Linked DNA regions of Struthio camelus. The protein of the gene in region 4 purifies or fractionates together with the protein of the main gene of each other region. This does not show direct contact. Links are inferred from orthologs where the notes say so. Each region holds a gene or a part of one and is shown on either strand. Other genes may lie near its edges. The genes, in order: AHCYL1, UBE2H, STK11 and PIP4K2A.

Region 1 (7,904 bases), on a different chromosome or scaffold from region 4:
CCCGGCCACCTAAGTTCTTTGGCTGTCACCAACCTGAAGTAAACAGATTCTGCAGCAGCAATAAGCTCGTTACCAAGGCCACCGTATTGATCCCAAAATGTAATTAAAATTCACAGTTCAAGCAGCCCAGTACGACAGGGCAAGCGGGGCGGCCTCCCAAGGGCATGAATAGCCACAGCTTCCGCGTCCCGCTTTCCCAGAGGCAGGGAGCCCCCGGGGTCAGCGAGGGAGGAGACCAGACACACACCAGCCTCAGCCTCCTGGGCTGCTCAGAAAACACCCCAAACGGCAGCCCTCTGCTTGCACCACCCACTGAGACATCCAAAAGCACCCATTCCCCATGTCCTGCCCCGTTGAGGGTTAACCACATTGGGGGAGCATGTCGTGATGACGTTCAGCCCAAGGTTAAAGGGGTATGGTGCAAAACAGGCTGAATCAAAGGGAGATGGTCAAGATATAAACATGACCCAAATCGTGGGACAGAGCCGTTCAGATACTGTAGAGGGCTTTGATGGAGGGGCTCTGGAGTACCCCACCGCGGTGATAACAAGATGGTCCTCCTCACCAACTCTCCTCTGCAGGACTCCCTGACCTTCCTACGCTGGACCCAGCCTTCCACTGATCCAATCCGGTCCCTTAACTCACTGATAAAGGGGGATCGGGCCAAGCGGTTATAAATTGCAGAAGCATTAGCTCAAGGTCCTTTGCACCCATTGCTCTACGGCACCAGCAGCAGGCTCTAGCACAGTCACCTCAAACGTCACCACAATCTGCTCAGTGAACGTGAGTCAGAGTCCCCAGATAAGCAGCGCTAATCAAAGAGCTCCACAGGAAACGCAACAAGCCTTCTGCAAACGGGAACGTCGCCACAGGAAACTCCTAATGATAAAAACACAGTCAGGCACAAGCAAGCCTCCTCCACTGAGTGCTGCTCAGAGCAGGCAAGTCCCACTCTTCCTCTTGCTCAAACACCTGGGACAATCCACTTGCCGACCCCTTGGAGGAACCACATGAGTAAGATCCTCACCTGCAAAGCTCTCTGTTTAGCCAACCAGTTATCTGAAAGGGTCAACTCCAACCCAGCCCTGAAGGGCTTTTTCCAGAGCAAAAAAACCAACCTCAAAGCACAACCTGTAGCAGGGAGCACAGAACAGACTCCAACATTTGCACAGGCTGGAAAAGAAGAATGGTGAAAACTGTCAGGGTCCCAAAGAAAGTATTGTTATAGGCTGGTCCCTGGCACAAGACAATCTCACATTTTGGGAAAGGCCTCAAGAAAACACCACTCTTCTGTCATCAGCCCACTTCCCATGCTCCAGACCTGGCGGCTCACATGGAAAGGAGATTTCCACCAAGAAATCTCAAAGCCCAGACTGGAAATGGAATGGGGCAAGTAGGACAACCAGCACTGTTCAGATGGGCTGACCCCAACTCCCACACAACTGCAGCTGGCACCACTAAAACAAGACAAGAGCTGCTTCTGAAGACTACAGGGAATGAGTAGCCAACTCCTTTCCTATCTCCAAAGACCAGACATCAGAGTGGAAACCGAGCCTACCTCATGCGACTGCAGGAGGAGGAGAACAGAGATGCAAAAAACCATTTGCCATGGCACGTCATTTTGAAGATGGCTCATTTTCGGTCAGATCCCCAAAAGCTCCTTTCTTCCTGCTCTTCAGTTCAAGGAGAACTTAAATCAGCATCTTTTGGTCTTGCAGCAGGGCTGGGTCACAGGGACAGACCTCCCTTACTGACAGCAGCGAGACTCTCCAAGAAGTCAGAGTGCTGAGAAGGACCCAAGGGGAAGAATGACTTAAAACATAAATAATTAAGATTTGGTCATTTAACACAGCACCACCAATGACCTGTCTGCTTCCAGCGCCCAGCAATTGCAAAGTAAATCATCTTAGCTCAAAACACCCTTGTGGGTTGCACTCGCCATGGGTTAGGGATACAATCAGGTCAGGCTTGAGCTGATCATCTAACCGCAGCAATGCGTTCACATATTACTGCCTTTTTGCACCCCAAGAAAGGCCAGATCTATCCCAGATGGTGTGTGAAGAGCAGAATGATCCCTTAACAACATCCCAGCCTAAGCAGCTCATTGTCAAAAGGAAAACCTGCAGGGAGACGAGAAGAGGGTGAGAAATCAAAATACCATAGAGGATTTGGGTAAGGAGGTGACAATCACATGCACCACTAAGCAACCAAGCAAGGAGATGGTGGGACAAGCACCCAAAGGCAGAGGAAGATTTACAAGCAGTCTGTCCGCTTAAGGGATGAAATAAAAAAGAGAAAAAAATAAGCAACTCTAGAAGCTCTGTCAGAATAAACAAGGACAACCTTGTCCTCCTGACAGATCTAAGGCAAAGATAGACTCATTAGCACCCTGCCTGAGAGAGCAGAACCGCAGAGACCTGAGACAACCTGGGACTAAGAAAAAAAAGGCAGAAAGCCCAGCTCCAGGAAGGGGCTGTGCAAGGAGCAGGGACAGAGCAGACTGCAGCAAGGTCAGACACTGCTCAGGCAGCGAGAGTGCAGCTCATGCAGGCGACCTTAAAAAGCAGCAGCAGAGATGATGCTTTGGGGAAGGCGGCAAGCCCTTTCCAGAGGATGGCAATCCTCCTGTCAGCTCCCCAGCTTTTCCCTGCCCCGTCCCCTTCCCCTGCTCCCATCTCGTGCCACCCCTGCATCCGCCAGCACGCGGCTCCGGCTCGGTACCACTGCAAAGCCGCAGCACGGTGCATTAGCATTCTCCTCTGCACCGCCAGCACACAGCCTCAGCGGGGCTCCTCTGACGCCAGCATCCGCAGGGTCGCGGCGACCAAACCCGCAGAGCCCGCGCCGTTTGGCCCCCGGCCGCGAACCATACTGAAACGCAGGCGACGGGCTTGCCGGCTTCGCGAGGCACACGGGGGTGCCGCGAAGCTTACGCCTCCCCGAGGGCAAATTAGAGGCTGGAGCCCATTTCACGCTCCAGCTCTGCTGCATGAATAAGCAGATCGGTGTGCAGAGCCGGAGCACGTCCGTCTGCCGGCACCCAGGTGCGAAGGAGCAGGCGAGGAGGGGGGCACGCACCAGGGGACCACAGTCCGGACAGACATTGCGCGCTCCCTCTGCTTTGACACCGTCATCCAATCTCACGGGACAGCGGACGCCACGCGACAAGGGTACAGCCCGGCTCGGGCACAGTGACAGACAGGGACAGGGCTTGTAAAGCCCCTTTGCTCTGCCATCAGTCTCTAGGCACAGTGTCACATCGCGCCCCGCTCTAGGGCACACGTAGCTCAGCTCGGCCGGGAGTTTAAAGGCTCCGCTGACCGGCTGATTTGACAGCAGTTGCTTTCCAAATCCAAGGGCACCTCCAGAACTCCAGGGAGACAGAAGAACCGATGCCCAGATGCACTGGTGATGGGACCCGGGGATCTAGAAGAGCACACCCTGCCCTTGAGCTCTCCTTTCCCTGCTTAGACGAACCCATATTCACTTCTCCCTGGGCAAGGCACCCCAAAATTGCTGGTTTCCAAAATCCCCCAGCAACATCTAGGCACACACTGGAGAAAGTAAAAGGCTCAATATCGCTCACCTCTGCCTTCAAACCACTCTCTGCCAAGGAACCGCCTCACTCTGACCAAAGCTGGTGTTATTTTGCTGACAGCCCAATTTCCAGTAAACTGCAGCAAAAAGGGAGCTTCGGCACAGCCAGACAACCCCAACTCCTGGAGGAAAACTGACCACATTTCTGCAGAAAGGCTACAGCTCTCTTCCCCTCAACTACTTTGGCTCCTACTTAAACCCGGAGTTGATCGCGTTTAATCTCTTAATCTCTTACCTCCTGCTGTTTCACTTTTTCACCTTAACCAAGTCAATGACAAGAGGGAAAATAAATATGTCAGAGATCCCCCGGGCTGGTTACGTAGCTCACAGGATCGCTCCAGGTGCCTCCAGGGCAGTGTAGCAAAGGCCAGGAGCACGGTGACTTCTTCAGAGGACGCACGGGGCCAGCGTGCCCTCCGGCTACATCGGAGACCTTCCTCTAGGGCCGAGCTGGGCTCTGACTTCGGGAAACCACAGCATCAGCTCCCCGGCGCCGAACACGGGACACTCACGGGCTCCTCGCGCCAGCTCCTCTGCAGCGCACTGGCACTTTCTGCAAGCGCTGACACAAGTTAAGGCTCTTCTTTGAAAAGCTATTGAGCAGGGCACACAAAGGAGCCGAGCCTGCGCTAACCTTGGACGCGTTCCCTCCATCTCCAAAGCCTTATGCAAACTACATCGCCAAAGTTCAAGGAACCAAACACCGAGCCGGGACGCTGCTTCAACAGCGCTCCGCGATTCCCTCTACCTCCACGCAGGTAAACTAATCTGTCTCGACCATCTCTGACCGCGCGGAGTGCTTCAAAGACAGAAACACAGCAAGTGCGCAAGTCACTTTGACTCACATTTAAACAAAAAGAGCATTTTAAGGGTTTCACGGTGATCCTGCTTTGAAGACATAGGAAAACGCCTTGTGCTGGGGGCACTCAGCAGCTTATCTCAGGAGGGCAGTTCTCCCCTCCTCGTCCTTTCGTTCCCCTGCCAAGGCCGCCGCACTGACTGAGCGCTATTCACAGTAACTAGCCAGGCAAGGAAAACAGCGGCCCAAAGCGTTTTGTTCCTTGACCTCAGCTGCATCGCGCACTCCCCAAGATCGCACTGCCTGCTGATGTTATCAACCTCAAACAACTTGCGTTGCTCTGGGCACCTTTAATAGCATCACCCAGACGGGAAAGGCTGCAGCAGCCACAGTCTGATGGTTGCTCTTCGGCTGTGAAACAAGCCTGTAAGCACAGCAACTTCAAGGGGGTAATGCAACACCCCTTATCCCCACAGATACGAGCAAAGCCCATGAGGGTGCTGGACTGATTCCCTCTCCACACGCACGTTGCTTTCCCTTCTGCTACTTGTATTTTGGCCCTGTAAGATACTTGAGCAGTAGTAGTTCGCTCTTCCTTCTCAAATCACCTGGCTGGTAATGTTCACACAGCCATAGACTCGCGCTTTTAACTAAACAGCTCTTGTGGAAGATGTTGACGATAAAAAGGAAAGAAAAAAAAAATCGCCCGAGTTTGAGCCATGTCTGGCTGTGCCGCCGAGCCACCTCTGGGAAGAGGCAGATCCCAGCTCCGCATTCCTCTGCTCCTTGCTCCAGGCGACGTCCACAGGCCGGATAAACACACGCAAGGCGCAGGGAGACCCACCAGGCCCTCCGCTCCCTGGCGGCCGCGCGCCAGCCCGAAAGCCGGGACGAGGAGAGAGAACCCAAACGCAGCCGACTGTCAGCGGCCTTTCCACAAGGGCCTACCGCTCCCCTAATCCCACGGCTCGCCGGAGCAAAAGACGCATCGCCCGGAGAAGGAAGACATTTGCATTCGCTGCGACTGCTCTGCCCTCGGCTCCCAGCTCCGAGGCACGCGGCTGCAGCCCCGGGGAGAACGCAATGTTCGGCACGGCAGGGACCTCCGGGTACCCGCGCGGCGCCTCGCGGCACAAATCCACCGCGCTGGCAGGAGCCGCGACTTCAGCGGCCCGTTAGTGAAGCTCGGCGCCCAGCTAGGCAACGGCACGCAGGCGTCCGCTCGCTCTCGGCCGGCCAAGCACCAGCCGATCTAAAAGCCGGGTCCTGCTAAAACAGCCATCCGACTTCGCAGGCAGAGCTCACCTGCTCGCAAGCCCCATCCGGGTGCACGCTGACGGTTATGCAAGCAGGGCTGCTGTTGGCTGGGGGGCAGCCCAGGGAGATTTTGGGAACTCCTTGGAGAAGGTCTTTAAGGATGAAAGGGTGAAGAAGCGACGTGGGAGAGCTCAGAGCTGGGGGCTGCTCTGGCAGCCTCTGTCCCAGCCCAAACATGATCCCACCCAAGCCTCCAACGAAGCGCCCCGTCCCCAAAAGTTCAATGCTCTGAATTTCCTATTGCTGCCCTTCAGGGTGACCTACAGGAGGATCCCCAGGTCACCGCAGCCAGCTCGCTCCATTTAATGGGTCCCCCCAGCCCCCTTCCACCTGCACTCCTGCCCTGGGGACACCCTCGAGGCACCCTCACGCCGTGGGGTGCCCAGGACCCCACCAAACCAGCCCCTCTGCTCCTCCCTCGATTCAGCCAGCCCAGCTCCACGGTGCTGAACAGGACCCATTGGTGCTGCCCTCACCCTGGTACCAGCTGCCCTACCAGGGCTGACCCCAGCACCTTCCAGATGAGGCCACGCCACACCGGGCCACGGCTCCCCACGCCGCTGGTACCGGTCCCCCATCAGCACCTCCCCTGACCCAAACTGGGCCAGGGCCGTATCCCAGTACAGGCCCCTCAGCACCGAGTCTGCCCCCCTCAAACTGGGCCAAGAGCCCCTTTCTGGTACCAGCTGAGCCCCAAATGGGGCCAAACATGGTTTCCTGGTAGCAGCCCCCTCTGAACCTGGTACCTGCTTCTCTCTCCCCTGTTGAATGGGGTCAGGTCCCTCTTTCCAAAACCCTCAAGCTGCACTAGGTGCCCCTTTCCCAGTACCCTCTTCCCAACTGGACCAGCCCCCTGTTTCCCAGTCCAGCCCCCCTAAGAAGTGGGCCAGCACCATGGCCTGGCCACCTTGAACTGGGAAAGCCCTGGCCCTGCTCCCCCATGAACCAGGACAGACCCCGCTCCCCGGCCCGCGACAGACCCTGCTACCCATCCTCCCCTCCCCGGCCCCGGCCCGCCACGGCCCCCGCTCCCCGGCCCCGAACCGGCCCCGGCCCGCCACGGACCCCGCTCCCCGGCCCCGAACCGGCCCCGGCCCGCCACGGACCCCGCTCCCCCCCGCCCCGAACCGGGCCGGCCCCGATGCTGCCCGCCGGTACCTTCTTGGGCGCCTTGGTGACGGTGGCCATGAAGGAGTACTTCTCGGCGTCCTCGATCTCCTTGGCCTGCTTCACCTCGTCGCCGCCGGCCGAGTCCGGTACCGACATCCTGCGGCGGCGAGGCGGGCCGGGGCCGCGAGCGGCGCCGGGCGCGGAGCGGAGGGGCGGGGAGGGGCACAGCGCTGGGCCCGGCCCGGCCCGGCCCGGCTCGGCTCGGCTCGGCTCGACCCGGCCCGGCCCGGCCCGCTCCGGTGCCGCCGGCTCCGACCACTCTGCGGCGCGGACCTGCAGCCGCCGCGCTCGGCGCCAGGGGCGGAGCTGCCCGCCGCCGCGACGTCAGCGCGCCCTGACGTCAGCACGCAGCCGCCTGGCAGCGAAGCCGCACGCCGGGGCCGGGCGGCGGCGCGGCGGCGCCCCCTGGCGGCGGGAGGGAGCCGGGTTTGGGGTGAGGCGGGAGGGAAACGGGGAACCGGGAAAAGAGATTGCAACCGACGCGGGAAGAGGAGCGCAAACCAACGGACGGGCGGCAGGCGGGGCAGCGGGGACACGCGGGGACACGCGCCCGGTGACACGGGGACACGCACACACAGCCGGGGCACGCGGGGACACACGCACACACACGCGCGTAGCAGTGCGCACACACACACACACAACCGGCGCACACAGCAGCACGCACAACCGCACACATAGCAACACACACATGTGCAACCGGTGCACACAGCAGCACGCACAACCGCACACATAGCAACACACACACACACACACACAACCGGTGCACACAGCAGCACGCACAACCACATGCACAGCACCATGCACACACAACCGGTGCGCACAGTGGCACGCACAACCCCACGCACAGCACCATGCACACACAACTGGTGCACACAGCAGCACGCACAACCACACACATAGCAACACACACACGTGCAACCGGTGCACACAGCAGCACGCACAACCACACGCATAGCAGCACGCACACACAACCAGTGCACACAGCAGCACACACAACCACACGCATAGCAGCACGCACACA
Region 2 (6,897 bases), on a different chromosome or scaffold from region 4:
TTTCCGGGTAGTAACAGAGCAGCCAATCCGCGGAGTTGCGAGCTCTGCCCGAGGCCTCTTGCCTGCAAACAGGGCTCGGAGGCCAGCGGCTGGCTCCGAACCGGGATCCCCGGCGTCCCCCCCGGGGGGCAGAGGTGCCCGGGCTCGTGGCAGTGCCCCCGCTGGGTGCGTGCGGCAGGCTGGACCGGGGACTGAGCGCAGCAACCCAGGAAATTTCAGAAATCGGGGAGAGGGATGGCAGCCGCCACCCCCCCCCCCAAAGGAGGGGGGCAACGCAGCGCGGACCCCGGCTGCAGGCCCTTCCCCAACATTCGCACAACGTTGGGAGCACGATCGGGGGGAGAGAGAGAGAGAGAGAGAGAGAGACAATGAGTGACTCAGAGTTTCAGCACATAATCACCCGGGCGATTATTAAACATCGGTTCAACACATTAACACACACGGCTCCCCCCCCCACCAGCCATCCAGGGAGAGAGCCCAAGCAACCTCTCCCCTTCCCTGCTCACAAAGACGCGTCCACAAAAGGACATGGACGTGTTAGGATTGAAAATAGGAATAATAAAAAAGACCCCACTCGGCTCCTAAACCTGTCAGAGCAGGAGAAGGCAGCAGCGTTATTCACTCACAACGTCACCCCCTCCCTATCCAAAAAGGTAGCCCTTGGCAGGCGATAAATCCACGCCATTATTCTAGACTGGAGACATGAAAAGAGGCTGAAAAGGGAAACTGTAACGAAAATGGCAGCAAAAGGGGGGGGGAAAAAAAAAAAAAACCCTACACAACAACAAAACCATCCAGCCCCAGGGAGGAGCAGCCTTCAAGTACATTCCTCCAGACTAGTCCTCTCTCATTTGGTCACCACCAAAACCATCCGTCGCTCCCACGGCTCGCGACAGACCCTTATTTCACATCAGCTCCCAGGCAGGAAGACTCCCAACGTACACGGAGCGAAGCGCCCGGGGAGCCTGGGCCTACAGAGCCGGACTCAGCCTGGGCAGGCTAGACAAGTCGGACGGACAAACAAAAAGGCTCGGGGAGGGAGGAGTGGAGGGAAGAGTCATCTGACATAGACAACTTCCTAAGTTTGTTGTCTGCAGGACACCGACCGCTCTAACCCTCGCCCTCGGACACCAGGGACGCCGCGCTGACAATAACGAGAGCTCTGCTTTTGGAAAACCCTTTGGTTTCTTTTGTCGGTGGCCGGGGGGTGGGGGGGGGGGGAGAGCAGAGCAGAAACCACCCAGCGTTGGGAGGAACGCCAAATATTTGGGGGCTTTCTACCTACCGCCACCGCTAGAGATATAGAACAAGTGAAGCCACTTCAAAAAAAATAAAAAGAAAGAAAAATCCCTGCTCTTTGTCTCCTAAAATGCTGGAATCGCTGGAGATGCCAGCTACTAAATGAACAAAAAAAAAAAAAAAGAGGGGGAGGGGAAAGGAGAGCAGCAGATCAGGTTGGGCCTCGGCCCCTCTTCAGCCCCGTCCTCTTTCGAGACTATGGCTAATGAAGATTTTTTTTTTCCCCCCTGCTAAACAGCTGGAATTCCCAACCCTCCTCCCAGCGCAATTAACCATCGATCGAAATTTGCATTCGGCAGAGTGTGACATGTGCGTAACTTTAAACCTCAGATAAAAATAGCTCGGATTCAACCATGATCGGTAGTCATTTCCTATTTGCTTAAAAAACAACACGAAAATATACCAAGAGCAGCTTTGTACAGAGAAACGCACACGAAACACCGACAGAAGTTTCCTTTGATAAGCCACCCTCACGCCACAAACACGAGCGGTATCGCTCTTCTTTCCCCCCCCCCCCTTTAAAAACACAAAATCCAAGCAAGTTTGTTTATCTCTCTGGGAACTCAATCAGATCTGTTTTACCGACCCCTCAACGCCACACGCAAAGTTAGAGCCACCGTCCCCCCCGAGAGGTTCAACACCTCCAGTAAACAGAGCCGAAAACATTTCGCTTGCTCTTGTCATTTCTACCCACCTCGACACACACCACCGCCTTGTAAGCAATAAATAAATAAATAAATACATAAAAACTATTAATTAAAAAAAAAAAACCAAAACCAATCCTATAGCCAAACCCCCACCGATATTTTCAATACCACCCACACTCCAGACAGAGAGAAAAGGATTTGCCACCCTGCAAAGGGCCAAGAAGAGTGAGGAGGAAAAAAAAACATATATAAATAAATAAATAAATATATATATATATATATAAAAACAGATCTATCAAGGAAGGGGTGGGGGGAAGCCTAGCCCAACCTGGAGCGTTACGTAAACGGGACCGCTCGCAAAACCGGCCGGGGGTCCGGGGCCGCACTGAGCCCGTCTCCCACCCCGCCGCCACGGGCAATCCCAGCAGCACCCTCCAGCCCCCAAAATATTAAAATCCCTAAGCCCAGCACCAGAAGCTTCGTGAACCGCAGGCTGAAACCGAGGAGTAAATAAAGATAAACACCACAAAAGCCTTTCTCTGGGCTGTGGCCGCGGGGGCAGCTTCCCCCCCCCCCTCAAACCCCAAGCAGCTGGGCCGCAGGCCGGGGCAGGAAAGGGGGTGCCAGCCACCAGGCTGCGGCCCTCGCTGGGTTTTTTTTCGGGGGGGGGGGAACCACGGGCTGTCAAACCGGGGAGCCCCCAAACAAGGCTTAGGATGGGGGGGGGGAGGCTTTCCCCACAGTGTGGGGGGGCCTCGGGGGGGGGGGCAGGTCTGACCCCAGGCAGGCAGGGAGGGAGCCCCGGGGAGGGGGCCTGGCCCTGCCGTTGCCCGGGGGGGGGGGGGGAGGGCCGGTGCTGCCCCCCCCCACCCCTCCCCGGTGCAGGCCCGCGGGGCTGTCGGCGGAGGGGTGGTGCGGGAAGGATACAGCTTGACCACGTCGGTGTCCATCCGCCTCTTGCCCGGGCTGGGGGAGGACATGGTGGCCGCGGCCGCCCCCGGTGCTCCGGGCGGGCTGTCAGCGCCGCCGCCGCCGCCGCCCGGGGCCGCCCGGCGCGGAGGGGAGCGGGGGGGGGGGGGCGCCGGGCTCCGAGCCGCTGGGACCCCCCCTCTGCCGCCGCCGCCGCTGCTACTGCTGCTGCTGCTCCTGTCGCCGCCGCCCTCCTGTGGCGGGGCCGCCGCCGCCGCCGCCGCCGCCGCCGCCGCCGCCGCCTCGCGCTCCCGCAGCCGCCGGCCCCGCTCCGCTCCGCTCGCCTCTGCCGGAGCCTCTCTCTGGACTCCTGACGTCACCCACAGTGACCTCACCGCCTCGCCCCGCTGCCATTGGCCGCGCCGCCGCCGTGACGGCAGCGCGCCGGCCCCGCCCGCTCGCCGCGCTCCGCCCCACCGCCTGCCGGGAGTTGTAGTGCGGCAGGGCGGGCTGCCGAAGGCGGAAAGCGAAGGGCGAGGCGGCGGGTTCGAGACCCCGGCGGGGCGACTTGGTTCCCCCCCCCCCCCCCCTCCACCCCCCGCAGCCGCCGCCGCCCCGCGGTGACACCGCCAGCGTAACCTCAGTGCAAAGCACCGCGTCGTCCTTCCCGCTCGCCCACAAGCTGGCCGCACGGCTTTCCCGCTCTCCGGCCACCTTTGGGGCCTGCTGCTGCTGCCACCATCCTTAAAACGCGGGTTGGCCGAACGGCCCCGTCCCTCGGCAGCTCCGGCCGGGTCGCCTCCCGGCAGCAGGGCGACGAGATCCCGCCGTGCCCCCCCCCCCCGCCTCGTGCCCCCGTTTAAATCATTCGCCTTTCAGCTCGTTCGCTCGCGAGGCCCTTTCTGTAGGGCTTTCGCCCGGGCGGCTTCCCAAACGGGCTTTGCGCCCGGGTCCGTAGCACGCTAACGAGGCCTTTCCACTAATGAGGGGAGACGAGGCTTCCAGAGAAGCAGAGCCTCGACGCCGGCGCGCCGCCTCCCGCCGGGGAGCCGCCGCCGGCCTCGGCCCTGTGGCGGGGCCCCGGGGGAGCCATTTTGAGCGTGGCCGGGTGTAAAGCCGGGGAGAGTCGCGCTCGGCGCCCGCGGGGCGGCGGGGACGGTGGTGCCGGCCGTCTCGTCCCGTCCCCTCCTGCCTCAGCCGGCATCACCGAGCTGGCGCCTGGCTCCGGCTCGTCACCTGGGGCGAGGGGGTTTGGGAGGGTCCCCCGTGCCCTGGGTGGCCCCGGCAGGGAAAATGGCTGCCAGGCCGGGTGTGGGGAGCTGTGGGGATTGGGGGAGCCATGGGGAGCTGTGGGGATTGGGGGAGAGCCATGGGGAGCTGTGGAGATTGAGGGAGAGTTGTGGGGAGCTGTGGGGATTGGGGGAGCCATGGGGAGCTGTGGGGATTGGGGGAGCTATGGGGAGCTGTGGGGATTGGGGGAGAGCCATGGGGAGCTGTGGGGAGCTATGGGGAGCTGTGAGGATTGGGGGAGCTGCGAGGATTGGGGGAGCTGCAGGGAGCTGTGGGGATTGGGGAGAGCCATGGGGAGCCATGGGGATTGGGGGAGCCATGGGGAGCTGTGGAGATTGAGGGAGAGTTGTGCGAAGCTGTGGGGATTGGGGGAGCCATGGGGAGCTGTGGGGAACTGTGAGGATTGGGGGAGCTGTGGGGAGCTGTGGGGATTGGGGGAGAGCTGTGGGGAGCCATGAGGATTGGAGGAGCTATGGGGAGCTGTGGGGATTGGGGGAGCCATGGGGAGCTGTGGGGATTGGGGGAGACCTGTGGGGAGCCATGAGGACTGGGGAGCTATGGGGAGCTGTGGGGATTGGGGAGAGCCATGGGGAGCCATGGGGATTGGGGGAGCCATGGGGAGCTGTGGGGATTGAGGGAAAGCCATGCGGAGCCATGGGGATTGGGGGAGCTATGGGGAGCTGTGGGGAGCTGTGGAGACTGGGGGAGAGTTGTGGGGAGCTGTGGGGAGCTTTGAGGATTGGGGAGCTATGGGGAGCTGTGGGGATTGGGGGAGCCATGGGGAGCCATGGGGAGCTGTGAGGGTTGGGGGAGAGCTGTGGGGAGCCATGGGGATTGGGGGAGACCTGTGGGGAGCTGTGGGGATTGGGGGAAAGCTGTGGGGAGCTGTGGGGATTGGAGGAGCTATGGGGAGCTGTGAGGATTGGGGGAGCTGTGGGGAGCTGTGAGGATTGGGGGAGACCTGTGGGGAGCTGTGGGGATTGGGGGAGCCATGGGGAGCTGTGAGGATTGGGGGAGAGCTGTGGGGAGCCATGGGGATTGGGGGAGCCATGGGGACTGTGAGGAGCCACGAGGATAGGGGGAGCCATGGGGAGCTGTGGGGAGCCATAGGGATTGGGGGAGCTGTGGAGAGTTGAGAGGAGCCATGAAGATTGGGGGAGCCATGGGGAGCTGTAGGGATTGGGGGAGCTGTGGGGAGCTGTGGGGATTAGGGGAGCCATGGGGAGCTATGGGAAGCTGTGGGGATTGGGGGAGCTGGAGGAGCCACGGTGACGGGTGGGAGCTGTGGGGAGGGGGGGGGAATCCATGGGGAATTGTAGGAGGCAAGGGGAGTCATGGGGAGCAGAGGGAGATAGGGCAGACAGTTGGGGAAGGGGCTCCTCCATGCCCTGCCCTCTGGGGCAAGGTGGAGACACCCTGTGCAGGTGGGACACCCAGAGCCAGGGTGAGGACACCACGGACAGGTGGGACACCCAGAGCTAGGTTGAGGGTACCCTGGGCAGGTGGGACACCCAGAGCTAGGATGAGGGCACCCTGGCCAGGTGGGACACCCAGGGCAAGGTGGAGACAGCCAGAGCCAGGGTAAGGGCACCCAGGGCAGGGGTGCACGTGTGAGAGAGGGAGACCAGGAATGCCGGCCCGTGCGTTTGTGTGTGGGCACGTAGCATCTTCGTGCTGGGCCCCTCTCGCAGCGGGGTGCCCTGGGGCCCTGAGCGTCTCGTGGCTGTATCTTGTCCCGTGGCCCCATGTGATCCCCCAGGGCTAAGCCTGCTCTACCTCCGTTCCCGACAACTCCTGGGCCACGGCAACCAGGGGGTGAAGGCACTCCTCGTTAGGCCGTGTCCCATGGGTGTCGTGGGGCTGCGGCAGAGGTGATGCCATGCCCAGGCACCCCAGGCACCGGCCCCTTCCTTGGTGCTGCTGCCTGCTTTTCCCCTGCACCGTTGCCAACGGTGCCATGACCAGCCTCCGACTGATTACGACATCCATGTTTTTCAGTGCTGGGCACCCAAATGGCCTGGCCCTGCCCAGCCTGCAGGCTAATGTCACACCGCCTTCTGAAGTCAAAGCGGCAGAGGAGCATGATGGAGTGCCCTGCATCTGGAGAGGAAGGGCCACAGCAGCATTTCCCGGGGAGCGGTGCAATTGGGTCTTTCTCACAAAAGGAAGACAAACTACCCTGATGCAAACCACCCTCTCGCCCCATCAGGCCTGCACCAGAGCCTCGCTCGCCCCAGCACCCAGCCAGGACACGACGCAGCGAGGGATGGCGGTAGTGACTCCCTGCTGCAGGGAACAGAGGCTCCCATCTGCCAACATGACCTGTCATCAAGAGAGGTTTGCCGCTTGCTGGGGGCTCGGATCCGGGATGTTACAGAGAGGCTGACGAGGCTTGTCCAACTCTTGGGACAATTACCCCTGCTGCTCTTCCAGGTGGCACCAACGATACTGCCAAAGGCAGCTTGGGACGTATCGAACATGACTACAGAGCACTGGGGGCAGTGGTCAGCGGTATGGGGCCTGGGTGTTTTTCTCCTCAATCCTGCCAGTGAGGGAAAGAGTGTGAGGAGGAGTGGACTGATGCTGCAAGTCCACAGTTGGCTGCACAGCTGGCCCAACCAGGTTTCGGCTTCTGGGACCACGGGACCCTGTTTGAAGACAGCTGTCTACTTGGGAGAGATGGGATCCCCCTCACCAAGCAGGGCAAAAGCATCTTTGCCAACAGGCTGGGCGACCTGGTAAGGAGGGCTTT
Region 3 (7,693 bases), on a different chromosome or scaffold from region 4:
CCCCTGCATGAAAGACTTGTTGCTATTCTGTAGCTAAGCGTGTCCACTGAAGGTTAAAAGGGAAACTTAAACAGCTAGCTGACAGAAGTCCCAGTACAGGATGTGAAATATCTTGCAGCTGAGCTCGGAAACTCAAACCAAACTGAGAAACAGAAACAAGACTCTACTAGGTCAGGGCTCTACACTCAGCACACCACAGCGAAAGACGTAATACAAGAGTCTTCTAAACATCTCATAAGTTTTCCCTCCCACTATAAGATAAACTGTCACAAATAATTTGTTTTGGCTGCAGAAGGCTCCCCTTCACACCAGATAAACAACTCTATCTTGCTGGGCTGTAACAAACAGCTTGCTGTGGAAAACACAGCTGGCTGTTAGGTCCTCACATGTAGGGCACAACACCAAGAAAAGGGAAAGTTTCAGATAATAACAACTCTTACAAATGAGGCATAACACCAGGCTTCTCCCCGCAGTATATTTTAATTAGTTACTTGTGCACTGACTAATCAGTATGTAACTGGCACTTGAAATACCTTCCAAGCACAAATCTTGAGTCACTGAAAAGAAGAGCTTGACAACCCTTGTCCCCATTTTACAGCTGGAGAAATCAACTGAAAAGAGCCTTGAATTACTTCCCAAACTCATTAATTAGAAGTGAAACCAAGAATAAAACCCAAGACTTCCTATGCCCATTGGGTGCATAATACACTGGATCATGCATTCCAGGCACTTATTTCATGGGTGGTAGCAATAATTACCACCCTAAAGAGCTTAAGAACCACACACACACTTATATGGATACACAATAAGAGAGAGCAACAATACAAAGTGTATTTCTGCACTCTCAGCTATACCATCCCTCATCTTTCTTAGTTGAGTTCACTACAAACACCAGTTTTCAATGCATCTTTGACATGAAATTTTAGAAACAGAGATTCTCTCTTACTTTGTAATGAAACTAAGAAAGGGCATGTGTTATATACTCTTCTGTTCAAGGGGACAGATGCGCTTCCCATGCCCTTGAGAATAAGCTTCCTCTCACTGTTGGGCAGCATTTAGAAGCACCCTTCACCTTACAGTTGGCTGTGTTTCAACGGTAAAGAGATTCCTGAGTACATATGGTTTAGAAAGCACTTCCAGAACACAAAGCTGTCATTATTTTAAATGATAGAGAACATCAGTTGGAAAGTAACGATAAAATTTAACTCCCTGGATTCCCAGCTACTGGAAATATTTACTCACTTTTTCACATTTGCCTCCCCATTGGGAATTCTGCGTAGCTTCTTCTTCTTCAGTATTTTGACAGCTCTCCTACAGAGGGTTTCAGAGTCCAACATCTCCTTGACTTTGCCATAAGACCCTTCTCCAAGTAAGTCTCCCATTAGGTATTTGCCAATGAGCTTGGCCCTTTTCCGCCGTGGCTGGTAGATGACCTCCGTGGAGTCGATGCGATGGATAAAAGTGTCCATCCCCACAGACATCAGCTCACTCTCTGCAAACATACCCAACTGCTGTGGCTCCTGCATATCCATCCTGGATTAAGTTCCTTAACCTGTTTTCCTTAAGCGCTCAGGGTTTTAATCCTGTTTGTTAGTTTCCAACACTCCCTTTTACTCCTTCTTGAAAAAAAATATCCAGAAGATTGTACAAACATGAATAAAAAAACAAAACAAAAAATTACTATGAGCTGCTTCCAGCTCAGTTGGATGCTAAAAGATCCAGGCCTGGCTCCAGTAACACAATGTCTCTTAAAAAGAATATATCCTTGACCAGATACACTCAGTTTGGGATTTGCTTTACTTCTGACCTGGTCCCACCACTAGGGTTCCTTCAAGTCAGCTTGGCCTTTAACTTGGCCCAGTTTGATTTTTAAGTGCTAGGTCATCCTCTGGGACTTTAGGTCACCACATAAAAACAGACAACAGCCAAGTCTCTTTCATGACTTTCCATTACTAGCAGATCATAGCCACCAACTCCAAACTGTGAATCGCAGGGGAAGCGTTTCTGCCCTGCTGCCCTCACCTTCCAGGTACAAGTATAGAAGATTTTTTTTTCAGCCGTTTGGAAGCTGGAACCAAGTTTCTTTGAAGGAGTTTTCAGAATCAATTCTAATTTCTTCACTTTTCACGCCTACAAAAGTTTGAGGCCTTCGGTGCCTATCAAGATCTCCCAGGGGCATCCTTCAACCACTCGGATTCCGCCTGACACATGATGTGTCTCCACCACTGGTCCAGGTGTCAGCTGGTGTCAGACAATGCAAAACCTACTAGAGCTTTACTGACCCACCTTAAAACAGGAACAACCAGGAAGAAGTAATTCTCTCTGTCCAGTACCCAAAACACCCCATTCCCTGTCCAACAAAGGAAGGTCAATGAGGAGATGCTAACCTTGCCTGGGCTTTTCTCCCCCTCTGCAAGCCCCTTCCACAGGTGTCAGTCGGGGGGGGGGGGGGGGAAAGAGAGGAAAATGAGCAATATTGTACCCACCCCTTCAGAAAGTGGGGGAAGGGGATAAACCACTCACAGTGCAACCAAGCCACCACAGGCAGGTCGGAAGGCAGAGAGGGGACCCCGGGGGGGGGGGGGAATGACCTTTGGCTCCTGGCAGGCCGCAGCCAAGCCCCCCCCCACCACAGCAGGGCGCCTGCGGGGGGGGGCCCTCTCGGCAAGGGCCCGTCCCCTGAGGGCCGGGGGTGAGCCCCGGAGGCAGGTTCAGCTGCTCGACTGCGCGCCCCGCTGCCGCCTCTGGGGAAGGGAGGCGGGGGGGGGGGGAAGGGCTGGCGGCCGCGTCCCCCCTCCCCGCAGCCGGGCCTCGGCGGCGGCGGCGCCGCGCTCCCCCCCCCCCCCCGCGCCTCAGGGGGGCCCCGCCGGCCGCTGCCCGCTGCTCTGCCACCGCGGCCCTGCCCCGGGGCCCGCGCCCGCACTCCCGCTGCCGCCACCCCCCGTTACCACCGCCGCCGCCGCCGTAGCGCGCACGCCGCCGCCATTTTGTTTACCTCCCGCCCCCGCCCCGGCCCCGGCCCCCGGCGCGCTCCCGCCGCTGCCCTCCCCCCTCCCTCCGGGGCCTCGCGCCTCCCCGGCGAGCGACGTGCCCCCCCATTGGCCCCACCGCCGGCCCCGCCCCCCCACGCTCGCCCGCTGGTTGGCTGCGGCGGCGCCGCGGGGAGGGGGGCGGGGCCGGCCTCGCGGTTTTCGTTTCCGGTTGGCCCGTGGCGTTTCCAGCCCGCCTACCTACTCCGGCGGGTGGCGGGGCGCTGTGATAGGCCGAAGGGTCTGTCCGTCAGACGCGGGAGGGGACGGAGGGCAAAGGGCAAAGGGCGCAGGGGAAGCGGTGCCATGGCGACGGGGCGCGGGCAGCGCGGCCGGGCCCGGCGGCGCCGCGGGGCTCCCGGGCCGCCTCCGCGGAGCCTCGGGCGGCTCCTGCTGCGCTTCCCGGGCCCTCCGCCGCCTCTGCCCTGTGGTGCCAGCCCAGCCCGGGGGCTCCCCGCACCGCGCCGCCCCCGGCCCCGGCCCGGGCCTGGCTGCGAGGAGCCGGGTCGAGGGTGGAAGGGGGGAGAGCTCCTTCCCCGCGCCCCCCGGGAGCCCTTGGCGACGTGGCGCTGCCCTCTTTTAAGCGCAGCACAAACTCTCCTGCCCAGCCGCGTCTTTCCTGGGAGCCTTTTCCACCCGCTGGCCCGAACGTTTCGTGCTAAATCCGACGCGCGTTCGGCCTGTGCAGGGAATTCAGCCGCAGCAGCTCTCTGGCAGCGGGGATACCCCTTTCCCTCCTCCGGGATAACTGCTGGCCTGTCCACCGTTTCTGCCACCTCGGTCCCCTTTCTCCCTCCGTTCGTCCACACTTCACTGCCTTGTCCATCCCTCTGCTGAAGGCTCCTGACCGGACTGCTACAATCCAGAACGCTTGCGTATTTTGATTAGGATGTTTTGTCCCAACACGTGTATTTCCATGCTCCAGGATAATAACTAACGGATGGCAAATGAAATAGAACGCTGCCTTTTATCTGCGGTCCCTCAGAGGCTGCTGTGCGCAGGGGTAGCTCCAGCGGCCTCCAAGGGGAAGCCAGCTCCGGGCTGGAAGGGTTTAAATCAAGTCTGAAACAAGGTCAGCAGAGTTCACGCTCCTGCTGATCCTAAAACCTGCAGGCAATCTTTACTGCCCATCTTTACAAACACCGCAGTGTCCTTTAGCTATGTGTCCTGTTGTTTGTGCAACAGGGAGAAAGAATATCGTATTTTGAGTCCCTTGTGCTGCTTCTTAAAACACAGGTTAGCCATGGATATCTCCTGTTTTAAGAATCATCTGGCTTGACTCTTGAGGACCGGAGCAGCAAGGGATGTTCCTGCAGCAGGATCAGGTTATGGAAGATGCATTTACTGGGAAACTTACAGAAATCGTTTGTATTTTTCATGCCAGATGCTCCCTCATATACCATCCTGTCCCTTTCACCATTTTCGCACCTTAAAAATACTTATTCGCCTTACTATTTACTGTGTCTCACCAGGAGCGCCTAGAGCTCACCCCGCCGTGGGCCCCCGGGCTCTGGGAGGCGTACCGTACGCTGCGCTAGATAATCCCCAACTGACAGCTTATCTGCTAAATGGATGGGACAGACCAGCGCAGAGGCACAGACTCCTCCACTAGCACAACCAGGCGCAGAAACACGGAGCTAAAGAGTACAACTGAAGTCCTCTGAGACAGGCTCAGATGTACATCGTTTCTGGCAGATGTTTATCTAACTTTTAGAAATCTTCCCACCCTCCCCGCATATCTTACATCAGTGCTGAACCCTGTCTATCTTTAGGCTGATTTTTCCTAAGATGTAATCCAAGCCTTCTTGAGGCAATAGATTCCACAGTTCCTCTGTTTTTTTACTTTCTCTGTCATTGCTGGATGCAGTATCCCGCTCCGGCTAGTGCATTTGTACTACATGCTTTAGAAAGCTTTTTTTGACAGCTGTCCTTATTTTGTGTTTGCTGTCTGGCACTTTTTAAACAAGGTTTAGATAGCTACAGGCAGGCACACAAATTTCTCAAAATCATCCATGATCTGGATTCTCCACTAAAGTCTCCGTGTTAAATTTGTTCTTCTCTGCTCGTATTTTAGCAGGAACATCTACACCCGGGACAAGCACGGAGCCACAACCCTGCCCTCTCCTGGGCTGAGCTCACAAAACCGCCAAGCGGGTCTGTGCGGAAAGCAGCGCGGCCTGCGCTGCTCCGTGGCATCGCTGCGTTCCCGTCAGCAGAGCGGCACCCAGCAGGGACGGAGCATCTTCGGGGTCGGTTTTCAAAGGCTGCTATTTGTCTGACCTTCCTTCCAGCTGCTGCTGTTTGCTTTTGGTCAGCAGGTTACCGAAGGAGGAAGAAACTGGAGAGAATTCCCTTCTTTGACAAGCAAAATAGTTTCATTTGAATAAATTGTGATTTTCCTTATTTTATTATACATTTTGCATTAACTGATATTTTACACCCTTGCTCTGAAAGTGATTTGATTACATGGGAATCTACTTCTATTAAAAAGTGAAAATAGACTGCTAGCCCTTGTGGTCATGCACTAGAGCTTGAAAAAGCTAGAAAAATAGGAGGGCAATTACAGGAATCCCTGCTGTAGTAGTTCTGGAAAGAGTTGGACTTTCTTTAAGGCCATCTGAGGATTTGGGCACCGGCAGCATTTCCTCCTCACCCTGAGCGAGACGACCCTGGCACGGGCAGGGGCAGGATGGGGCGATGCCCTGGGCACTGCAACGCGCTAGAAGCCAGGATGGGGCCGGATGAGACCGAGCAGCTGCCAGAGCGTCCTCCAAAGGAGCGCCGCGGCTCCCCGGCAGCTCCGGGCGGGAGCTGGCACGGCAGGGAGAGGCCCTGGGAACACTGCGACTTCCCTGGTGGGGGATTCTCTAGTGTCTGATAAGGGTTGAACCTACCCTGCTGCTTTCCCCCGCCGAGGGGCGCTAGGAGAACCCCCTCCGTGGGCTCCTCCAGCCACACTGCTCGCCCGTGGCAGGGTCCCCGCGGCCGGCCTGTCCGCCCCGGCAGCCCCGTGCGTCCGCCCTGGCACGGGCCTCGTTCCAGCAGGCGGCAGTGCGAGCGTGTGGACGGAGGGATGCACGGACGGACACGGACGCTAGTCCTGGGGGGGTGTCACAGGCGAGCTCCCGGCTGGACACGGTGGTGTTTCCTAGTGGCTGGGGAGAGGGGAGACAAAAACAGTATGCCAACAGGTAAAAAGCTGCTGCAAGAGGAGAAAAACTGTTTTCCACATGCAACGCAGGGCGAGGGGTCCCGGGCTCGGGCTGCCACGAGGGAGAGGGAGGCACCGGTGGCAGCGGGGAGGCAGCCTGGAGGGGCACCGCCGGGAAACGAGGGGCGGCTGAGCTCCCCGCACAGCTCGGCCCCGGGGCAGGCAAACTCCTCCCGGGGAACGGCACGAGCAGGGGGGAGGCAGCGCCCGGCCAGGATGCCGCTGCCACCGCCTCCCCTCAGCCCAGGCTGCGCCAGGGTTTGCTCCGCGCCTGCGGCAGCCCCTCGCCACGCCGGGTCCTGCGGGAAGACGTTAGCGAGGGAACAGCCGATCGCTCGCATTGATCAGCGGTAGGTTGGCACAGTGGGAAACTGCACAGCCCGTTTCAAATGCACGCAGAGGAACCAAGATGTTTGCAGCTGCAGCTTCCTCCCAGGCCTTGCTGCACACTCATATTAGAGATTAAAAAAAGCCCTTTAGCGACACGATGGACCCAGGCTCAGCTGGGATCACGCGCTCAGGGTAGTACCTCCAGTTCAGCAGTTACTCCAAGGAGGGACCAGACAAATCCCTGAGTGCTGCCTTTTTGCAAGAGCTATTGGCACCACATGGGGCGAGGAGCGCAAGCCAGAGAGCCCCGAGCCCCCCCTCGGGGCCCGAGCGGTGCCGCAGCACGTCCTCCCAGCTAAGGGCCGCAGTGGCAGCTCCAGCCGGGCTCCCCAAAGGCTCCGCAGGGCTGGGGCAGAGCGATGCCCGCGTCTCGCCCCGGCCCCGCTGCTGGCTGTCGGGGGACGAGGTGTCCCGCACGGCAAAGGCGGGAGAGGGCCGGGGAGGGAGGGCTGGCCGCAGGAGCCGGCTGCCCCGCTTCCCCCCGCTCCCTCCCCAGCTGTTCTCACGGCAGCACCCAGCCACATGTGATTTACTTCGATCTTGGCACTGAGTCCAAAGTGCTGGAAAGTGATCACCCAAATTCTGGTAAGCGCTGTGCTTCCCCTTCCCGAGGGGGCCGGGTTCCCAGCAGCCGAGGGCAGGATCGATTGGAAACCGTCCACGGCAGAGAAACCCGGGCGGGAGGCAGCTCCCCCATCGCTTCGGCTGCCGCTCGGTTGCATCAGCCACACTCTGCTCCCCCCGGCCCCGCTCCCCTCCCCGCGGGCGGTGGGAAAACAGGCTTCCCCAGAGGCAAAATCATCCCTCCCGCTGGAAACGGGCAGGGGGATTGGGACAAGCCGGGTGTCCCTGTAGGCCTGCCCCCAGCACTGTCCCTCACTGGGGGTCTCACAGACACATCAGCTCCCTGCAGCGACTGCGCCGGCAGCTTCGCCTCTGCACAGGTCGGTCTGCTCAGCCGGTTCCCGCAGGAGCCAAGGGGCATTGGGCTGAGACCTGCAAAATTCACTGCATGCAGGCCTCCACAAAGCCACTGCTCAGCCACCTCCACCCCGCTTGTCTC
Region 4 (7,763 bases):
CCTGGAAAAAAGTCTGCTTTCCTTTTAGATCTTCACCAAGAGCTTTCCTCCAGTATATGTCATATTGTGCCAAAAATATGGGAACTGCATCTCATATTTGGCTTCGTAGGAATAGGAGACTGCTACTTCCTTGTTAATTGACATGCATGACAGTGGATAGTAAACTTCAATAAATTTTTTTTTCAGCTTACTACTATGCTCTAAGTTTATTAGATTACTATCATCATGAACTATGTTCATGCTCATTTCCTAGTCTAACATTTTATGGATTTCTGTTTATTCTGCTAAGAAAATATAAGCATCCTTAACCCCCATTGTTAATCAATCCATGCATGTACTTTGTATTTCTCCCATGATAAATTCTTATCTTTGACAACAGAGCCTGCTGCAATTAGACTAACTGCTCATTTTTATTTGCCGGACAAATCCTGAAGTGCTGGCACATCAGACATTACATGCCTGAAATGCCTACACATCAGGTATTGCAAACCAACAGTGTAAGCAGCTTTTTCCTCTAACAGAGGAGCCCGCAACACTTAAATGCTGTATTCTTAGCTAAGAAGAGATATTTAGATTATGACACATCAGACTGGGCACCACTGAAGCCAAACTTATTTTTCATGCACTCTGGTTCAAAGTATTATTCATGATTACATCTTGCAGCATGGTAAAGAAATTAAAGAGTATCTAGTTTATCTGAACCTACTTTATTACTAAGCTTTCTCTTTGACCCTCCCCCCATCAGAATTTTAAGTTACGACTTTTAGTTTTATGCACGTGAACCAGTTTGCTTCTTCCTTACACTTTGTAATCAAAACAGTTATATACTCTGTAGTAGCATATGAGCTTAGGAGTTACCACAGTGTCGTGTTTGTTACTATTTACTTTGTTATTAGACACAGTACCAGGTAGACAGCACAGCTCTTTCCTCTGAAAGTAGCAGTATTTCCAGAATGAACATTATGTAGCAACTAGCTGTTGCAACAGGATGATGTGTATTCTTGTCAGAGGCTCTCTTTCCTTCTTTCCCCCTGTATCCCAGAGAGACCACTGATAACTTGCTCACTGTTCAAGACCTAGCTTTACATTATCCATCAGAAGTATCTTACCCTGTAATTACCAGGTTGATTACTTTCACTGAAGAAACCTATTTTGAAGTTTTTCTATGAAAAACACCAGCCATTAAGTTCTATCTTTCTTTGTCCCACTAAAGAAGAAGTAGAAAAAACTTCTGCATTTAAGTCCAATTCTGGCAAATAGCATATCACAGACTTTCACAGTTGAGAGATTTTTTTTTATTTAGAAGAAAAATATCTGGTTTCTGATCAGTTCATGACACAGAACGCCACTGGTTACAACTAATCTACAGGAAACTTTGAAACAAGTTCTGTGCCATAATTTTCACCCGTCTCACAGCACTATCTTAAGTGGACTATTTAACCTCTCTAGGACTTATTTTCTGTCATTGATACTGCATTGACACCTACAGCTAAAGCATTTCCCCCTACATCATTACTTCAGGTATTGTGCTGCCTCACCCAGATTTAACAGCGATTAGACTTGATGCAGGACTTCAGGTTCGGGGCTAAAACAACTATATGTACACAAAGAAAAACAAATAGGATTCCGAGGTGTAGGAAACAGAAGGAATGCAGAGTTTGATGCCAAGGACTACTTTGTCTATTTTATAAAGCTGTCAAAAAAAAAATTGTAGTCTAAAACTGCAAACAACAATTATTCTTAGAAGCTCTTAAGTACCAATTGCTAGCAATGCTATTCATGTAAAAACATTTGGAAGTACAGACTTTGCACCATTAAGAAACCAGAAGAAGTTTTTGGCTTAACTGCCCTGATATGTGACTTTAGGTGATCTTTGGGCTCTACACTTGTAACCTACTATGGTAGCTATATAAAGATGTAAAGCTGTGACTTGAGCCTCATAATGCCCAAACCATGTGACACCCTCATTACTAGGCTCCTAATTTAACACTTAACCAGCAACAGTTCAGTGTTGCCGCATCTAGTTAAATTGAATCCTTTGGAGATATAGCAGCACATCATCTGCAGAGTGATATAGCACTCAGCAAAGGCTGCAATTCTGTTGTAATTCTGCTGCTTTACCACACCAAAAAGGAGCCCTCTTCCCCTCCCCTAAACGCACAAAACCATCAAGAGACACTTGCAAACAGCACTGAAGACAGCAAAAACTTCAGTAGTTAAGCGCTAATAACGCCGTCCCCCCCCCTTCTTTCTGCAACCGCAGTACGTTTATGCAATGCTCGCCGTGCCTGCTCCCGCGTTTCTGGAGGAGCAGCACCGTCGCCTCCCGGACACCACCCTTACGCGTCCTGCCGACCGTTTAAACGGCCGGCACCGCCGATTCAATAAGACGGCGGCCGCCGCGGGCCCGGCCGCGCTGCCGCCTCGCCGCAGCCGGCCGCCTCCGCCGCGGGGGCCACAAACTTCCCGGGCTCCGCCGGCTGCCGCGCCGCCGCCCCGGGCGCGAGCGGGTAACGGCCGCGCCGCCGCCCGCGCGGTGACATTCGCCGCCACCGCCCCCCCCCCCGCCGGCGCCTCACGCAGCGCCCCGGCCCCGGCGGGCAGCGGCGGCCGCGCTCCGCTGGCGGCGCTTACCGAGTGGTTGACCCCCCACATGAGGACGCTGAGCAGCGGGTCGCTAGCCCGGAACAACTTCACTTTTTGCGCCACGAAGTGCTTTTTCTTGGTCTTGGTTTTACTCGCCATGACGGGCACGATGTTGCTGGGGGCCGCCATGGCGCAGCCGGCGGGGCGGGGGGAGGCTGAGGGGAGAGCGGCGAGGGAGGGAGGGAGGGAGGGAGGGAGGGAAAGGGGCGAGTCAGCGCCCCAGCCGCGCGGGGAGGGGCGCGCGGGGAGGGAGCGAGGAGGCGGCGGCGCGAGGCGGGGGCGGCGGGCGGGCGGCGGCGCAAGCTGCCGCGCGCATCCCGGCCTGGCCGCCTGCGCCGCGCGCTGAAATGGCCCCGCTCGCGCGCCACGGCCCCGCCTCCTCCCCCCCCTCGGGGGAGCCGCCGCTGCCGCCACCGCCCGCCCGCCACGCACCGCCCCGCCCCCAGAGCCGGCGCGGGAACGCCTCGGACTTTTGGGTCTTGCGGCCTCACTGCGCATGCCCGGGGGAAGTGTATGGGGGGGGGGATGGGGGCTGGCGCCTGCGCGCCCGCCGCCGCGAAGTCGGCGCTCTGACGGGGCGAGCACCAGGGAAAGGGCAAAAAAAAAAAAACACACCTCAGAAATAAGGGGAGGAGGGGAGAAAGGAAGTGGGACGAGTGCGAAAGGACGCAGAGGGAAAGGGGATGAGGTGGGGAAGGGGGAGGTGAGGGAGCGCCCCCGCTCCCCGCTGAGGGGCCGTTGGAGACGGAGCGCCGAGAAGCGCCCGGGGCCCAAGGCTAACGCGGCGCCCGGGGAGAAGGAGGTTCTGCTCCCCGTCGCCCACCCCTGTTTCCTTCCTGTCGAGCAGTCTCAAGAGTCAAAATTAGTCAACTCTGCCCTCACGCTGTTACTTCCAAATCCACTTGGAAACAAAACCTGGGATCGCCTTAATCTTTATCCAGCTGATGGTACACGTTGTTACTCTGTGCAGCTTTTGCAATATTTATTCAACTTTTTAATTTTTTGTTAGAGGTCTAGGAGTGAAAAGGGCATTCTGCAGCAGAACACTGCCAGCTGTTTCACGGCCTAGCTCCAACCTATGAACTGAGATCTATTATTTTTACTCAGTGTACAGCAAAAACTGAAAACTCAGTCTCTTAGGGACTCCATATCGAAGTTTCTTTGTTCTTTAAAGATATTACACCCATATAAGCTGTGCTCACCTAATCATACCCAATTAGAACATTTTGTAACTGCCTCTATGACCACACAGGATGTGGTCAGTGATAGGCTGACATCCTGCCAAGGCACATCTGCCCAACTTAGGAAGAAACGTTAATACACTTTTCTTCATTGTATAGTGCCTTAATGACAACTCCAGTCACTATTTTGAGTCAATACACCTGGATAACAAAGTATATATATCTTCTGCACATGAATCATCCATCAAATTCTGAATCATACAAACTGACCTGACTGTTGTAGTTCTTGCTTTATTCATCGGCTGTTCATTCAGCAAAGCCAGCAGATCTTGAGGGAGCTGTAAGAGCAAGGCTACTCCATGAGGGTGGGCAAACCAGGAGCTGAAGATGGCCCCAGGGCAGATAGTGCCCTCACTGACAGGACACAGTCTCACAGAGCCTGAACACCATGGACACAGCCAGCCACTGGTAACAGCACTCATCAAGAGTCCAAGACAAGGTGATGTGATGGACCAGGTCCAGAGTCCATCCAGAGAGTCCAGTCAGGAGCAAAAGGAGCCAGGGCCAAAGATAAAGCTACAATAGAGATACAAGATACATCAGCAGACAGCATGGCCAGAGACAAGCTACCTATAGCATAGGTCCAAGGTACATCCGGGAGACAGGGCTGGAGATAGGTACACCTACAGCATAGCTCAGTCAAGGACCTGAACTTAGCCCAAAACGTGAACTCCACCCAGGCCTGAACGTAAGTGAAGCTCCTTGGCCCAAGGGGAGAGGGTGTGAGTGGGGGCTCCAGATGAAGCTGGTTAGGGCAACTAAGGTGCACTCAGAGCCATGACACATACTTACACAGATGCTCATAAATTTAGAGGCTTGCACCATGTTGAGTGTCTCATCCTCTGTTTCTCTTTGGCCTCCATGATCTCAATATGAAAGTTATCTATCATGCTGGAATCCAAATTTTTCGTGTTTAATCTCCCTCCTTCTGCATAGAAGCAGTTATTAGAATTTATTACATGGTCTCTTTTCTGCGTCTTATGGAGACTAGGGGAAAGAGAGATGATATGTTTCATTCCTCGTGTTTTTTTTAAAGCAAGAAGTTATCTAGTAGTTAAAGAGAGTGTCTCAACTGTAATTTTTGTTCTTGAAAAAGGATTCAGCAAGAAGAAAAATTCAGTTTTTTCCACTGCCGTCAATGGAAGCAGCTGAATACACAGCACCTCTGAATAAAAGCAGGTCGCTTAGATGCCTAAATATAGATTGGAAGTCAGATTTTCAGAATAGATCAGTACCCATTTTATTCCTTACATTATGCTTAGAACATGACACCTGAGCATCTTAAAATGGTGCGCACATCAACATGACTAGCATTTGTCACATGTTTGTCTTTCACCTTCTTTCCAGAAGAAATCCACATAGTGAAGCCTTTGGGTTTATAAATACATGATATACAATAAGCATTTTGGTAGCTTTATTATAAAGGAGGCAAGGCTTAAGAAGGAAAACGTTCTTTTTTTCCAGAGGACTTTCTTGTCATCTTGGCCTAGATTCTGAAGAGCTCCTTCCTGCGGTTCTGAAGCCCTAGCAGGGAGGGTTCTGTTTTATCAGAGGAACAGATGTTGACCATAACTTTTACTACAGAGTTAAAATAAATCAATGGCCTGGGCTTCTTCAAGACAAGGTCTGAGGCACAGATTCATCTTCTCCAATTTTAGGCACCTGATACTCAAGTTAGAAGCCTGATCAATCTCACCTTCTTTTACAGTCAGTGGAGAAATCAGGGGGCAGCCACAGATTTGAGGCACGCAGTATGGGGGCCTAAGTTTGCCAGGCCGTTGTAAATCACCAGCTCCTACCTTAGCATTCTGTTGGCACAGCCTCCTTAAACTTCTGAGGACGGGATGGCTCCCTGTACCTGTATGTCCCACTGTCCCAGGGCTTCCATCAAGGCCGTGATGCACCTGCAGATGGACAGAGTGACTGTCAGAAGAGAGAAAAGCTGATTACTCTTGCAGCTTACACTTCTCTTTGGCAATTCCTTTCTGGCCATGCTCCAAGTGTAGCTCCACAGCCTCTCTTTCCATCAACTATAACCATAATCCTTCCCCTCCCAGAGGCTGAGCCTGGGACCGGAAAGCCCCCAGCCAGCACCCACACCAAAAGATCGTGCAGCTGAGTTCTCTTTGCAGCCCAGCCTTTTCTTTGGCAGTCCCTTCCCAGCCCTGCCTCCAGCTGAAGCTTTAGGTTGTCTCTATCTCTGAATACTAACCTTAAACCCAGCCATATGCTGAGCCTTAGTCCAGGATCCCCAAGTAGTGTCCACGATAAAATCTTCTCTCTGCCACTAACCCTAACTTTAACTGGTGACTGAACATCACACCTCACCCCCTAGGCAGTGTCGACGCCCAAAATTTCCCCTTGCCAAGTTCTCCTTGCAGCCTCTCCTTTTCTTTCAAAGCCTCTTTCTAGGTCCCCTCCAACTGGACCTCTACGCTCCCCCTTTCTCCAGCCCTAACAATAAACCTAACCATATCTTGAGTTTTATCCCAGGCCCCCATTTCAGTGCCCGCACCAAAAAGTTACGAGAGCTAAGTTCTCCTTGCAGCTCACCCTTTCTTTCAGCAACCCCTTCCTAGCCCCGTGTTCACTGGAGCTCTAGTCTCTCTTTTTCTCTTACCTTTAACCTTTACCTTAACCCTAAAAACAAACCCATCCAAAGTCTGAGCCTTGTTCCAGGTCTTGCCAGGCAGTGCCCAGTGCCCACACCACAGAGTTCTGGCAGCCAAGTTCTCCTTACATCCTACACTTAAAATTAGCAATTCCTTCCCAATTCCACTGCAGCTGGAGCTCCTGGCTCTCTCTTTCTCTCAGTCCTAACCCTAACCATATGCTGAGCCGCAGACCAGGATCCTCAAGCAATCCCCACAACAAAAAGTTTTCAAAACCAAGTTATCCTTGCACCTCACCCTTTCTTTTCAAAGTACCTTTCTAGCCCTACTCCAACTACATCACTAGTCTCTTTCTTTCTCTGAATCCTAACCTTAACCCTAACTGGAGTCTCCGCCTTATCCTAGGACCCCAAGCAGTGCCCACACCAAGTTCCTGCAGCCGAGTTCTTGCTTCCAACACTTCCCTTCAAAACCCCTTTCTAGACCCCCTCCAAGTTCATCTCTAGGTTCTCTCTTTCTCCCAACCCTAACAAGAAACCTAACTGAAGACAAAGCCTTGGGCCACACCTTCCCAGGCAGGGCCTGCACCAAAAAGTTTTCATAGCCAAATTCCTGTAACCTACACTTCCAATCAGCAGGAGTTTCCCAGCTGCTCTCCAGCTGACGCTCTTAAACTCTGTTTTTCCTTAGTCTTAATCCCAATCTTAACCACATGCTGAACCTTTGACCAGGACACCCAGGCAATGCCCACAACAAAGTGTTCTCTCTGTGACATTCTTTTTATATTACACACTTTTCTTTGGGAGTCCCTTTCAAGGCCCCCTCCAGCTGGAGCTCTTGGCTCTCTCTTCTCAACTTTAACCCTAAACATAACCACAGGGTGAACCTTGTGTCAGGACACCAAGCCAACACCCACACCAAAAATTTTCCCCTGTTGATTTCTCTCTGCAGCCCACCCTTTCTCTTGGAAGCCCCTTTCTAGCCCCACTCCAGCTGCAGCAATAGGCTTTCTCTTTCTCTGCACCCTAATGCTAACTGAAGCCTAACCCTTAGCGGAGGCTGAGCCTTGGACAAAGGCCCCTAGCCAGTGCCCACAGCAAAAAGTTTTTACAGCCAAGTTCACTTCACAGCCTACACTTCCCTGTGGTAGTCCCTTTCTAGCCCTGCTCCAAGTGGAGCTCTAGGCTCTCTTTCTGTCAACCCTAATCCTAACCATATGCAGAGCCTCAGGCCAGGCCCGTATCCAGCGCTCACACCAAAAAGT

What was found.
Region 1: the proteins of PIP4K2A (region 4) and AHCYL1 purify together in Homo sapiens (co-immunoprecipitation; 3 studies listed by BioGRID and IntAct, counting the BioPlex papers as one, with this or other methods). This does not show direct contact. The link is inferred for Struthio camelus from reciprocal best matches to the Homo sapiens genes PIP4K2A and AHCYL1.
Region 2: the proteins of PIP4K2A (region 4) and UBE2H purify together in Homo sapiens (affinity purification with mass spectrometry; 3 studies listed by BioGRID and IntAct, with this or other methods). This does not show direct contact. The link is inferred for Struthio camelus from reciprocal best matches to the Homo sapiens genes PIP4K2A and UBE2H.
Region 3: the proteins of PIP4K2A (region 4) and STK11 purify together in Homo sapiens (affinity purification with mass spectrometry; 3 studies listed by BioGRID and IntAct, counting the BioPlex papers as one, with this or other methods). This does not show direct contact. The link is inferred for Struthio camelus from reciprocal best matches to the Homo sapiens genes PIP4K2A and STK11.

The regions. Positions count from the first base shown.
Region 1 is NC_090965.1:4,283,038-4,290,941, reverse strand, and holds the start of AHCYL1 (S-adenosylhomocysteine hydrolase-like protein 1), read right to left. Parts: upstream 3,007-7,904; 5' UTR 2,992-3,006; coding exon 2,722-2,991; intron 1,755-2,721; exon of another isoform or gene 1,637-1,754; coding exon of another isoform or gene 1,559-1,636; intron 1-1,558. UniProt on the Homo sapiens protein: Multifaceted cellular regulator which coordinates several essential cellular functions including regulation of epithelial HCO3(-) and fluid secretion, mRNA processing and DNA replication.
Region 2 is NC_090942.1:1,893,319-1,900,215, forward strand, and holds the start of UBE2H (ubiquitin-conjugating enzyme E2 H), read right to left. Parts: upstream 3,010-6,897; 5' UTR 2,927-3,009; coding exon 2,874-2,926; intron 1-2,873. UniProt on the Homo sapiens protein: Accepts ubiquitin from the E1 complex and catalyzes its covalent attachment to other proteins. E2 ubiquitin conjugating enzyme that transfers ubiquitin to MAEA, a core component of the CTLH E3 ubiquitin-protein ligase complex.
Region 3 is NC_090967.1:7,175,394-7,183,086, forward strand, and holds the start of STK11 (serine/threonine-protein kinase STK11), read right to left. Parts: upstream 3,007-7,693; 5' UTR 2,949-3,006; intron 2,287-2,948; exon of another isoform or gene 2,242-2,286; 5' UTR 1,533-2,241; coding exon 1,243-1,532; intron 1-1,242. UniProt on the Homo sapiens protein: Tumor suppressor serine/threonine-protein kinase that controls the activity of AMP-activated protein kinase (AMPK) family members, thereby playing a role in various processes such as cell metabolism, cell polarity, apoptosis and DNA damage response.
Region 4 is NC_090943.1:21,264,349-21,272,111, reverse strand, and holds the start of PIP4K2A (phosphatidylinositol 5-phosphate 4-kinase type-2 alpha), read right to left. Parts: upstream 3,013-7,763; 5' UTR 2,776-3,012; coding exon 2,635-2,775; intron 1-2,634. UniProt on the Homo sapiens protein: Catalyzes the phosphorylation of phosphatidylinositol 5-phosphate (PtdIns5P) on the fourth hydroxyl of the myo-inositol ring, to form phosphatidylinositol 4,5-bisphosphate (PtdIns(4,5)P2). Has both ATP- and GTP-dependent kinase activities.